3 linked regions of the Tribolium castaneum genome follow. The protein of the gene in region 1 purifies or fractionates together with the protein of each later gene. This does not show direct contact. Links are inferred from orthologs where the notes say so. Each region holds a gene or a part of one and is shown in the gene's direction. Other genes may lie near its edges.

Region 1 (4,129 bases):
TTCAATGTCCGAATTAAACACACAAAGAACAATGACTGACCAATCATTATTTAAAACGCAGTAAGCAAATCTGCTAGTGATAACTTTGGTGTTTACAAGTGAGATTGTTACAATACTCAGGAAATTATTTATTGTACTTTATTTATTTTTGTGAAAATGAAGTATCTGTTTTTACTTTGCATTATCTGTGATTTATTTATAACAATATTGAGTTATAAGCCAGTTTTTTTACTTCATGGAATCATGACAGGAAGTGCTAGTATGGAAATAATCAAAGGTCGGATTGAGGAAGTAAGTTGTTTTTTTGCACAATGAAAAAAAAAAAATAATTATGACACCAGCAACACCCCGGTACAATAATTTACAACACTAATCGATTTTCTGGTTGGTCAAGTCTGGAAAACATGTGGTATCAAGTCCAGCAGCTTGGCCAAGATCTCCTAAACGTTTCAAGTCAACATCCTGAAGGGATACACTTATTAGGTGTGTTTTATTTTGTGGGAAAAAAACTGAAGAGTCAAATATATTGTAGGTTATTCACAAGGGGCTCTCCTTTCACGAACAATTCTACAAACATTTAACAATCACAATGTTCATAATTTTATCTCACTCAGTGGCCCCCAAGCCGGTCAGTATGGAAGTACGACCATTGTAACCAACATTGAAACATTTATAATTGTTAATAAAAATAATTTTAGCGAATTTTTTACATTTGATTTTCCCAGACTTGGCACTCAAATCAGCTTTTGAATTATTTTACTCGAGGGTAGGCCAACACACCTCAGTCGGTAATTACTGGAACGACCCTTACCACCAAACTTTATACAAAGAATATTCCCAATATTTACCATTCGTGAACAATGAAATTATTTCAAACAGAAGTGAGGAGTTCAAGAAGGGAATAACTAAACTTAACGCAATGGTGCTGATTGGGGGCCCTGATGACAACGTGATAACCCCCTGGGAGTCAAGGTATACTTCAATTTTTGTAAAATTAATAATTTTGTAAAAAATTTTTCAGTCAGTTTGGATATTTTGGCCAAAATGATACAGTGGTCAACTTAATCGATCGTGATATTTACAAGGATGATCTTATTGGACTGAAGACTTTGGATAAGGCTGGAAAATTAAAAATTATCACTGTCCCTGGTGTTAACCATTTTATGTGGCATCTCAATACCTCAATCGTCGACAATTATATTTTACCATACCTTGATTAAGTCAACACCAAACTGTAGTCAACAATTAATAAAACCTGAAAACTAGGTTGGCGCCTTTTTTTAAAGTTCGCTTGGTGCCAATATCACGACCCAAATCCACTAAAACGAATTTTTTATTTGACGTTTGACGATTTATCTTTTCTTTTTAGAGTGACTTTTAATAAGTTGGGATAAGACACACGTAAGCCCACATTTTTCAATAAATTTGTTAATTTTTGAGACGCAATATGTGCGATTTTCGTGTTTTTTATATTGAGTCCGGTTTGGTTTTTGTGTTTTTTACCACTCTTGGTTTATAGAAAATGAATTCGCCACCGCTCGCCCCTCAAGACGACGTGATCCAAAACATGTACGTATGAGCAGAAATTTGAGGTTATGTTTGAGGGAATTGGTGTTTTTGCAGCAGTTACACCGATTCTGATACGGAATATTCTGCAAAAATTGTGGGTCATGAAGTAACAGTTCAGTGTAACTCGGGACAGCATAACCATGGAAGTTCTAAAGTGAAACTTATCAATCGGATTGATTATAATTGGGAGTTTCACTATTATCGCGGACAATTGGTCGCTGTTCACATTAATGGAAAAATTATTGCTTATGGGATGAAGGGGAAAGACGGGGGCATGATCCGAGTTACGAACCAAGAGACCAACGAAAGAGCACTAATCAAAAACTTGAAAAATGATGTCAAAGACCTGTCTTTTGCTTTTTCACGCCAACAGATTATTTTAGGATGTATTGACGACGAAGGCAATGTTTTCATTTATGAAATCATTGATGAACCTAGTGCAATAAAGTATCCTTCAAAATTTTTATTAAGCAACGTAAAAAAATAAAAAAGGCCCTTAACTAGCCATTAGATACAAACAACTACTCCACATATTCCACAGTGATGTGGTCCCACATTCAAGCCCCAACTTTCGAATTATCTGGTGTCCCTACTTGACCTGTTTTGACGAGGAAGAGGAGACACCAGATGATCCTGAAAAAATGTTTGTGGTATTAAATTGGGACAAAGCCGAAATATGGAATTTTGGCATGATTAATGCAAAGTATGGGCCAGGTCCTTTACAACCAAATGAAAACTATGAGGGTTATGTTGAAATTAGCCATACTGCTGAATTGGTAGATGCTTCATTTTCGTCAGATGGGACCGCTATTGCAATTGCTTGCTTAGACGGTTATGTGAAATTTTTTCAAGTACAAAATAACGCAAAACAGGTCATTGTTCACATTTTTGGTGTTTTTAGATTTACATGGTTGACAATGAAAAGCAAAAGTGCTTGCATGAGTGGAGACCACATGATGGTAAACCACTATCTTCTATCATATTTGTCGACAATTTGCTGGAGTGCAGTTCTCAGTAAGTACATGACAAAATGATTAAATTAAAGTCGGTAAAAATATTTATTTTACAATTGGAGCCGTCTAAATGCAAATCTCGTTCTTTGTCAAAAATTCGAAAAATATTTTCTATCTGCTGCCTAATCGTTTTTTTAATTGTTTTAATTAATTTCGGTTTGCTTTAATTATGTAGGTATTTAAATTATTACAATTATTTACATAAATTAGATGTAAAACTCACTCTTTGCTCTTTGTAAATCTAAATTCCTATTTTATCCCTGAACTATCATTTATACAGCATACGACATTCAATTTTTACAGTTATAATGAAACCACATAAAGAAAAATGCTCTTTAAAAGTTATTTTAACTTTAAAAAATAGTTTTTCGCAAATATCTCAAAATTAACTCATTGTCAAAGAGTCAGTTTTGCATTTAGACGGCTCAATTGCAAATTGCATGTCAGAATAAGAAATTTAAAAACTTACAATGATATTTTTCCTGTTTGTCCTGCTGCTGAAGCAACATATTATTCAAAGACAAAATAATATTGGCTCTGACTAAAATGTTGCTGCCATTTCTCAGGTGTTGGAAATTCACAATAACGGGTGCGAATCACAACTCTGAGCTAAAGTTGTGGTCTTGTGAAACGTGGACTTGTCTCCAGACAATCCATTTCAAACCAGATCCATCGAATCTAATCCAAAGTGTTTATCTTAAAATGAGTATAGACTACTCGGGTCAGTATTTATTAATGTCCGATCTAAACAATAAAGTTTTATACGTCCTGCAATTAAAACGAAGCGATGAAGCTCAACAAATATCAGTAACAATGATATCGCAATTTTTACTACCAACTGCCTTTTTGAGCTTCCACATAACCGAAGCCAACTGTCGCAAATTACGTTCGTCCGATATGAGTGAAGAGTTTTCACAAGATGCCGATCAAGATGACGATGATGAAGACGATACTGTTGCAGCTGTTGTTATCAAAATGTTGGTGATTCAGCAGAAAAAATTCCAAGAGTGTAATATTGTATTTCAACCAGATGCGATGTTGTGTAATACTGAGATTATATTTAATGAAATTAAAGAGGAATTGGAGAAAGTGCCAAAATTGGACGATCTTCAGTCATCCGTTACTTTATTAATAAAACAACAGCAACAGCAACAATTAACTTTGATGACTCCTGACGCTTTTACAACAGCTGAACAAAACTCTCGTCCTAATAGTGTCAGAACTAGCATCAATGGTGATATTAATAAATCAACCGAAGGCACAAATGGCGATACTGTTGAGAATTTGATTGATTTTCAAAGACCTGAAAAGGATAATTTTGCAAGTGGAGGTTCTAGTCCTAGTAGAGAAGTTCAGGAAATTCTATCTCTTAACAATTCAACGTACAGCACTCAGGACTATTTCGATAATTTAACGAAAATGCAAGAAGAACAAGAAATACCCCAGAAGGAGTACAAACATAACGAAAATCTCATGTACCAAGAGAACCCCAATCCTGAAATGGTTTGGCTGAAACTACCTCTAGTTAAGAAAGATAATGAGATAAA
Region 2 (4,060 bases), about 6.2 Mb from region 1:
GCATACCGAAGAACCCACGTAAGGACTGGCTCAGTTGGTTCCGTCCCTGATCACACCAATTTAATTTCACAAGTAAATTATCATTTTTAACTCTGAATATTTCTCCAAATTACGATTTTTAGAACGAGGATGAGGAAGATTTCCGGTGTTTGAAAGTTTTCAGCGTTAAGGCACACCAACAGCCGATTATCTGCCTCGACTGTGAAGGCGGCAGAATTTTAACCGGCAGCCAAGACCACACGCTTAAAGTGTTCCGACTGGAGGACGGCAGCCCCCAGTACACGCTGCACGGCCACTGCGGCCCCATCACCTGTCTTTTCATTGACAGGATCAGTCCAGCGACTTCTGGCAGTGGCTCCCAGGACGGAATGCTCTGCGTTTGGGATCTTCTAACTGGTAAATAGGTTTGGTGGTAGGCCGAAATTTAATGAGAGCGTCGTTACAGGTGCCTGTATGTACAACATCCAGGCCCATGATGGTACGATAACATCGCTGACGTACTCTGCGAGTTACGTGATTTCACTGGGTTCTGACGACCGCATTTGTGTTTGGGAGCGCTTCCAAGGCCATCTTCTGAACACCATTTACGTTTCTCAGACCTTTTCTAGCCAGGTGTTGATGTTGGCCCCTCATTTGGTTGTCACAGCTCGCAGTGGAGGGCTAGTTATTTGGGATGTGAGGTCGGGTGAATGTGTCCGAACGATTATATTAGGCCGTTCACCGTATATTTTTATCAAACAGTTGATGTTGTTACGCGATGCTGTGGTCTGTGATTACGGAAATCAATTGCGCATCGTGAGGTTCCCTCTTATCACTCATAAATTTGACTAGGTTGTTTCTACGTGCCTTCAATGATGTAACATAGTTTCGTCTATTTATGTCTTGTTTTATTTTTATGTCCTTTACGTAAAAGCGTCAAAACGTACTGTAAATTTTTCACTGACAAAAGGTTTCGAATACCTAATTGTTTTTTCATTAAGTTATTTATTTATTTGGCGGAAATAAATGCATTTAACATGAATTTTTATTATTGTTATGTTAACTATTTTTGTAACAATAAATATTTTAAATAACGAGATTGGTTTTATTTCCATTTCTTCTGAACTGCAGTTGCAAATAAAATAGTCATTGAAGCGATAATTTGCTTTGCCCTACGTTGCGGTACGGTTACGCCAGTGGCGTGTAAAGCCGACATTAGGGTCATCCACGTTTTCTGTCATCTGTCATTCGAAACGACATATTTTTCTTTTTTGTTGTGAGTTGTGATGAGCATTTCATAATTGAATATAGAGCTTTTGGTGGATTATTTCTTTCATTTCATTCAAACACACTCTATATTTACATGCGTCTTAGAGTTTGCGAGCGACGTTGAGACCCGCACTGAAAACAAGCCTAAATCATGGGGGTTCCCAAGTTTTTCAGATACATAAGCGAACGCTACCCTTGTTTGAGTGAATTTGTGAAAGAATATCAGGTAAACCGCAGCCAGCACCCAACACGTCCACATTCTGGGTTTCAGATCCCAGTTTTTGATAATTTGTATTTGGACATGAACGGCATAATCCACATGTGTTCGCATCCGGACGACAACAACCCTCACTTTCGAATCACCGAGGAGAAGATATTCGCGGACATTTTCCACTATATTGAATTTTTATTCCGGATGATCAAGCCCCAAAAGGTGTTCTTCATGGCAGTGGACGGGGTGGCGCCCAGAGCCAAAATGAACCAGCAAAGGGGACGCCGGTTTCGGTCGGCGAAAGACGCGGAAAAAATGGAACTTGAGGCGAAAAAAAAGGGCGAGAAATTGCCCGACGTGGAACGTTTTGACTCAAATTGTATCACACCTGGCACTGAGTTCATGGCCAGGTTGCACGAACAGTTGAAATATTTCGTCGTTTCTAAAGTTTCAACCGACAATATGTGGAAAAAGTGTAAAATAATTTTATCAGGGCATGAGACGCCCGGCGAAGGGGAGCATAAGATCATGGATTATATAAGGTACATTAGGTCCCAGCCTGGGTATGATCCAAATACGCGCCACTGTCTTTATGGCTTGGACGCTGATCTCATTATGTTGGGGTTGTGCACCCATGACCCCCACTTCTCACTGTTGAGGGAAGAGGTCAAGTTTGGCAAAAAAGCCAAACGAAGCAATGTACCTGAAGAGATAAGATTTTATCTGCTGCATTTATCTTTAATGCGAGAGTATTTAGAAATGGAATTTTCGCCTCTCAAGGAGGCTTTGAAGGATTCAGATAAGATTAAATTTGACATTGAAAACATTATTGACGACTGGGTACTAACTAAAACTTTGGAAAAATGTGACTGAAATTAATGCTTTTAGATTCTGATGGGCTTCCTTGTTGGAAACGATTTTATACCAAATTTGCCTAATTTGCACATCTCTAATGGAGCATTACCTGTTCTTTATAAAGCTTACATTGAAGTCTTACCAACATTAGATGGTTATTTTCGTTATTCTTACTCAAAATGTTGTGTAATTCGTTTTTGTAGGCTACATTAATGAAGCCGGAACGCTGAATTTAGAGCGGTTCGAAAAATTTATGAAAAAGTTGGCAGATGTAGATATAAAAAACTTTGAGGAAATCCAAGATGATTTAACGTATTTTGAACGCAAAACTGGGAGAAAAGCAACTGCGCATCTTCCCGTTAGTGTAAGTTATTCTAATAATGCAAAAAAGTAAACAATTTTGCCTTTTTCGAGCGTTTTACACATCTTTCAGGTGCAAACGCAATTGTTTTGCATGAATAATAAACCGAAAAATTACCAAATTAGTTGCAAAAATCTTAGATTATTTCATCTTTTAAGTACGTTTTTGAGATTAAAGAGCGAAATTTTCTTAAATTTGCTTCTCCAGAACCAATAAATTATGATTATCATTATTTTTCTAGTTTTTTATTTTATTATGACATTGTTCGTACAGAGACGTTGATTATTGCATGGTATTTCTTTAAAAATAATCTGAGAAAACGTTGACTTTGCTCGAAAATGGTGTTATTTTTTATGTTTTGTGCATTTAAGCACATTTTCATTTAGAACAATTTCTTGTTTTTGACAGTTTTAAATTATTTCCAAAATAATTGGGTTTGTTATTTTTATTAAACATCACGTTAATTGTTGAAGTTTGTTTTAATTTTCTTATATTTTTTAATTTTTATTGGTCTCGCTTTTTGAGAGGCTCGGAACCGTCTAATTTTTAGCTGAGAGCCCATAAAAACACTGTAAGTTTGTGTACTTTTTTAAACATGCTAATTAAGAAGACCTAATATTGTTTTTTTCCTTCAAAAATGATTATAATTATTGTTATTTGGAAATCCATTAAACCGTGAAAAAACTAAAAATAAAATATTACGTTACGTAATAGATTTTCACTGAATACGCTATTTTACAATATGAAAAGTTTAATATTTAGTAAACTTTATTTTTTCTACACTCTAGTCTAAACCTGTTAAAAACGGCGAGGAGAAAAAAATTGACCCCGCACTTGCTGAATTAATAGCAGCAACCGATAGTTTGGTAAGTCCTGGTTTAAAAAAAAACTCTCCCAATTGAACATTTTCAATGCAAAGGCCGTCTCTTCCGATGAAGAAGACTTCGAAAGTAGCATTTCATCAGAAGAAGACGAGGCTTTCAAAAGTTACAAAGACGAGTATTATCGTAATAAATTAGAGTTCCAAGAGGTGACGCGAGAAGTGATGCGAGAGCAAGCCGAAGGCTACGTCCGTGCCATCCAATGGAACTTGAATTACTACTACAACGGAGTGTGCTCATGGTCGTGGTTTTATCCACACCACTATTCGCCCTACATCTCCGACATTAAGGGTTTTTCCGATTTGAAAATCGACTTTGAGCTCGGAAAACCCTTCAAACCTTACGAACAATTACTGGCTGTGTTGCCCCCAGCCAGTAAAAAACTCCTCCCGGAATGTTACCATTCCTTAATGACTGATGATAATTCGCTGATCAAATCATACTACCCTGAGGAGTTTCAAACCGACCTAAACGGCAAACGCCAGGAGTGGGAAGCTGTGGTCC
Region 3 (4,069 bases), on another chromosome or scaffold:
GGACAAATTTCTCAAACGAATGACTGGAATCTTGCGACTGTATTTTGCCATTTTCATTGCCAAGCCAAAGCGGGGACAGACAAAAAACCCCTACGACATTACAAACGCGTGGATTTTTTTGGCCTCAATCCTAAAATTAAAACCACAGCTGGACATCACAGCAACCGTTTTGCACGTTTTCCTCGAAACTGTTGGTTTTGAGATGGAACTGGTCTACGGAATGGCCTTCAAGAAATTGGTTGTGATTATCATGGAGAAGTTCATGCCGACGTTGAAGAAAATTGATTCGGGGGGGCCCGTGACGAGGCTAGAGGTGCTGCTGCAAGACTATAAAAGCAAGGGGCACTTTGAAACGCCCAATGGGATTTTACCCAACAATTTCTGGTAATTTATTGTGTATATACAAGGAGAAATAAACTTTTATTAATTTACTGGTCCTGGTTTTTAATTAGTAACCTCCGATCGGGCTCGTTTTCTAACCCTAACTCTACTCTGTATACGACCCAGTTGTTGTCATGTTTACTGGCCCAGAAATATACTCGCCCTTTCTGCTTGGGCCCCCTTATGGGGACTTCGTAATGGGCGGAATTCTCGCTCGTGAAGTTCGTTTCCGTGTCGTCTAGGTCGATTTTTCCGTCTTTGATTGGCTCGCCGAGGAGGTGCACTGCCCCTCGGTTGGTTCGCACAGTCCTTAAGGCTTCTTTGTAATAAACGGTGCCTTTAATGTTTTGCTCAATCTTATTTCGGTATAATAAGCCCATCGTGACCGTCGCTATGCCCCCCACAGCCCCGATTTTCACCAAAGTCATGATATTACTCATTTCTGGAAAAACGGTTAAGGTTATGGTCGTTTCAGTGGTTGATTTTTCTACCTGATTACGACGAAAATTAACTGGGGCTTTCAGATTTGTAATTAGTACGGGCTTGAAGCACCGGGAGACCGGGGTTAGGAACGAGTCCGGCCCTGCATTCTCATTTTGTAGAAGCATAAAAAGTGTCGAAATTTTGCAACTTCTTTCGAGTTTATTTTGCCAATTTTTGCGCTACTTAAGGCCTATTTTGCGGTTTAAAATTTTATAAAATATTTCGGTTGTACGGTATTTCTAACTAACGGACGTTGGAAAGAGATAGTTGATGCGACTCAGCGTTGGGCAGAGAGAGACGGCGCGAATTTATTTTTAGAAAAGGTGAAACGTGCGAGAGAGAAAGCTGTATCGAAAAGTGTGTCGCAAGAGATGGTTGTTGGGTGCTGTTAATTTGTTGTGGGTTCATTGTTGTAAATATTTCTTCTTGTTTTGTGCTAATTATTGGTTCTACATCACGTATTTAATAATTTGTTGGGAAGTTGAGGTCGACTGATAAATCTGCTGCGCAGTGTTACCTAACCTCATTTTATAAATTATACAAATTATCTGCTCTCGGTTGTGCTATTGATATTTGTAAAGAAAATGGCACAGTGGGTAGGATACATGGTCTCAATTAAGTGCGCCGATGATACCGCTTATCAAGGTGAAATTAGCGCAGCTACGACTTCTCAGATTGCTCTAACTAAGGCTTTCTGCAACGGCATTCCCTGTCCTTCGAACGAAGTGACCATTAGGTAACCCAGTCTCTCCAACACCTCGAATTTGAGCATCGCATTTTAGGGCAAACGAAATCGAAGAGTTGAAATTAATTGACAAGCACTTAAGCTCACCTCCACAGAGAAGCACAATAACCATCGCCAAGCCAATCGCGAAGCGCGCTGGACGAACGCAGAGCACCTCAGATGTCGCCAATGCAGCATCCAAACATACAAATTTAAACGGATCTCACAGCAAATCAAAACCCATTGATATCGAACCCAAAACCACGAACTATAGTTTTAACGAATCCAGTTCATTCAAAAACGGAACCCCAGTCAGGCGAGAAAAGTCAAAAGGCAAGTGGTCCAAAGGCTGGAAGGACGAGGAGTGTTTCGGCTCGCCTTTGGACCACAAAATCAACAAAGACTTCGATTTTGAGAAAAATTTGGCGCTTTTTGATAAACAAGCCATCTGGGACGAGATTAACAACTCCCAGAAACCGGACGTTATTAAGAATGCCGACAGCAAGAAGCCGGCGAAATACAGGTTTGGCGAAAAATAGCGTGGCACAGTCACAGGGTTTGTTCCAGGCATGATGAAAATGTTATTGCAAGCACTCCAGCATCGTATAGGCAGATAATAGTGCCTAAGCAAGACTTTTGCGAGTATGTGACGGATGATGGGCTGATTATACCGAGCATTTCGAGGTCTTTGCGAAAGAAACTGTGGGAAGTGGCTGATAGAGTGGGGCTCACGTGGGATAAGAGGGTGGAGCTGTTTGGGAGGGCAGCTGCCGAAATTTCGGTACAGTTATTGGGGGGCGGGCATAGGTTGAATCCTCACAACTCGCACCAGTTTCCCACTGTTGTAGTGCTGTGTGGGCCGCACAAGTAAGTTTGTTTAATTTTCCGAGCTCATTTGAAGGCAGTGAGCTTGGTAAAAATCATAATTCTCCACGTTTAAATAAGAAGCGGTATTAGAAACATTAAAACAAGGGCAACAGACTTTTTTTTTGGTAATATTTTAAGCCTTTTTTTAATATCTGAATCCTAGACGTTTCCGATAGCAACGTGTTTTCACTATTTTAAAACACGCTCCCCATAGCAACGTGTTTTTCATTAAAATGTTCCAACAAAAAAAAAGTTGAATAATATTTATGCGAAAATGCTTAAAGTTCTCGAGTGTCCAGGTATGTCACTCGTATACGCTCGTTGTATGACAGTCCTCGGACTTTAAGCTTGTGTTTTCGTACTCATATTGTTAATAACTATATTGCACAAAACACTGATAACAATAAAAATTCTCTACTTTCGTTTAGAATTCTTTAAGATTATTCTGATTCTTTCCTAAAGCTGTTCTGCATCTGAAATCTCTGGATTCTTGTTTAGATATTTTTATCATTTTTTAAAGCTAGTCAGCGTGTACTCTTAAATTTTCCGGCATACAATTGAGTCGTTTACCAATAAAAAAATTATTTTTTTTTAAGAATATTTTAAGTAGCATGATTTAAATCTGAATTCGTACAATACTTGTTAGGTTAGTTGTAAATAGACCATTCAACCTTATAACTGTTTATTGACTAATATCCCGGAGCATTGAGGGTGCGTCCAGGCCCCTTCTGCGACATAACCTAACTAACTCACTCTGCCAAAAAACCCCCCTCCAACTCCCGTGTCGCCCACGTGAGAGTTGCCAACCTAACATCCCCCCTTTTAAATACAAAACTAAGCTAAATATGAAACTAACTACCTGAGGTATCAAAATATACATATTTCAATAACAATAATAATCTTGGTATCTTTTGGGTCTTCTGATTGGTCTTTTCTTTGGTTCCTCTGATTCGTCTGGTTGTTCTGGGTCATGTTCGGGTTCATTATTTCTGTCTGGTAAGGGCTGAAGATGTCTTCGATTTCGTCTGACGCAACCGCCGTCAGTCTCGATCAAATATGACCTTGGTTCTTCACATCTGCGTTGTACTTCTCCCTCCTTTTGCATATTTATGATCCATACGCGATCACCTTCTTTTAGATTTTTCTCTTCTTTTGTTACTCGGTGTCGTTTGTCGTAGTTGGACTTCTGTTCTGCTTGATTGTTGATTAACGTTTGTCTGACAGTGTCATGGTCGATAGTTGCAGGTTTTAACCCTGAAGGTAACCTTGGCAGTCTGTCTCGAAGGTTTCTGCCAAAGAGCAGTTGGGCAGGTGACAATCCACATTTAGTAGGTGTATTGCGGTAGGTAAGAAGTGCAAGATATGGATCTTCATTTTTCCTCAATATCGTTTTGAGCAGCTTCACAGCACTTTCGGCTTGTCCATTTGACTGTTGGTAATGGGGACTACTGGTAATTAACTTAAATCCATATTTTCTGCTGAAAGTTCTGTATTCGTGACAATCAAATTGTTTGCCATTGTCGGAGCGGACAACTTCGGGTATACCATGTCTAGCAAACATTTCTTTGAAGGTCTCGATAACAACTTTGGCTTTGGTGGTGCGAAGTTTTCTGA

What was found. Proteins that work in one complex are often made in the same cells at the same time.
Region 2: the proteins of Ge-1 (region 1) and pcm purify together in Homo sapiens (co-immunoprecipitation; 4 studies listed by BioGRID and IntAct, with this or other methods). This does not show direct contact. The link is inferred for Tribolium castaneum from reciprocal best matches to the Homo sapiens genes EDC4 and XRN1.
Region 3: the proteins of Ge-1 (region 1) and Edc3 purify together in Homo sapiens (affinity purification with mass spectrometry; 6 studies listed by BioGRID and IntAct, with this or other methods). This does not show direct contact. The link is inferred for Tribolium castaneum from reciprocal best matches to the Homo sapiens genes EDC4 and EDC3.

Annotation. Positions count from the first base shown.
Region 1 is NC_087398.1:143,818-147,946, reverse strand, and holds the start of Ge-1 (enhancer of mRNA-decapping protein 4), read left to right. Parts: upstream 1-1,265; 5' UTR 1,266-1,401; intron 1,402-1,519; 5' UTR 1,520-1,522; coding exon 1,523-1,569; intron 1,570-1,623; coding exon 1,624-2,016; intron 2,017-2,080; coding exon 2,081-2,420; intron 2,421-2,470; coding exon 2,471-2,583; intron 2,584-3,148; coding exon 3,149-4,129. Other genes in the region: lysosomal thioesterase PPT2 homolog, read left to right, coding at 157-291, 342-483, 533-640, 699-972, 1,022-1,220. UniProt on the Homo sapiens protein: In the process of mRNA degradation, seems to play a role in mRNA decapping. Component of a complex containing DCP2 and DCP1A which functions in decapping of ARE-containing mRNAs. Promotes complex formation between DCP1A and DCP2.
Region 2 is NC_087398.1:6,306,442-6,310,501, forward strand, and holds the start of pcm (5'-3' exoribonuclease 1), read left to right. Parts: upstream 1-1,207; 5' UTR 1,208-1,399; coding exon 1,400-1,474; intron 1,475-1,519; coding exon 1,520-2,299; intron 2,300-2,347; coding exon 2,348-2,468; intron 2,469-2,517; coding exon 2,518-2,678; intron 2,679-3,463; coding exon 3,464-3,541; intron 3,542-3,594; coding exon 3,595-4,060. Other genes in the region: SCAP (sterol regulatory element-binding protein cleavage-activating protein), read left to right, coding at 1-72, 123-396, 446-831. UniProt on the Homo sapiens protein: Major 5'-3' exoribonuclease involved in mRNA decay. Required for the 5'-3'-processing of the G4 tetraplex-containing DNA and RNA substrates. The kinetic of hydrolysis is faster for G4 RNA tetraplex than for G4 DNA tetraplex and monomeric RNA tetraplex.
Region 3 is NC_087396.1:13,257,802-13,261,870, reverse strand, and holds the start of Edc3 (enhancer of mRNA-decapping protein 3), read left to right. Parts: upstream 1-1,216; 5' UTR 1,217-1,448; coding exon 1,449-1,600; intron 1,601-1,646; coding exon 1,647-2,111; intron 2,112-2,155; coding exon 2,156-2,455; intron 2,456-4,069. Other genes in the region: mRNA export factor Gle1, read left to right, coding at 1-388. UniProt on the Homo sapiens protein: Binds single-stranded RNA. Involved in the process of mRNA degradation and in the positive regulation of mRNA decapping. May play a role in spermiogenesis and oogenesis.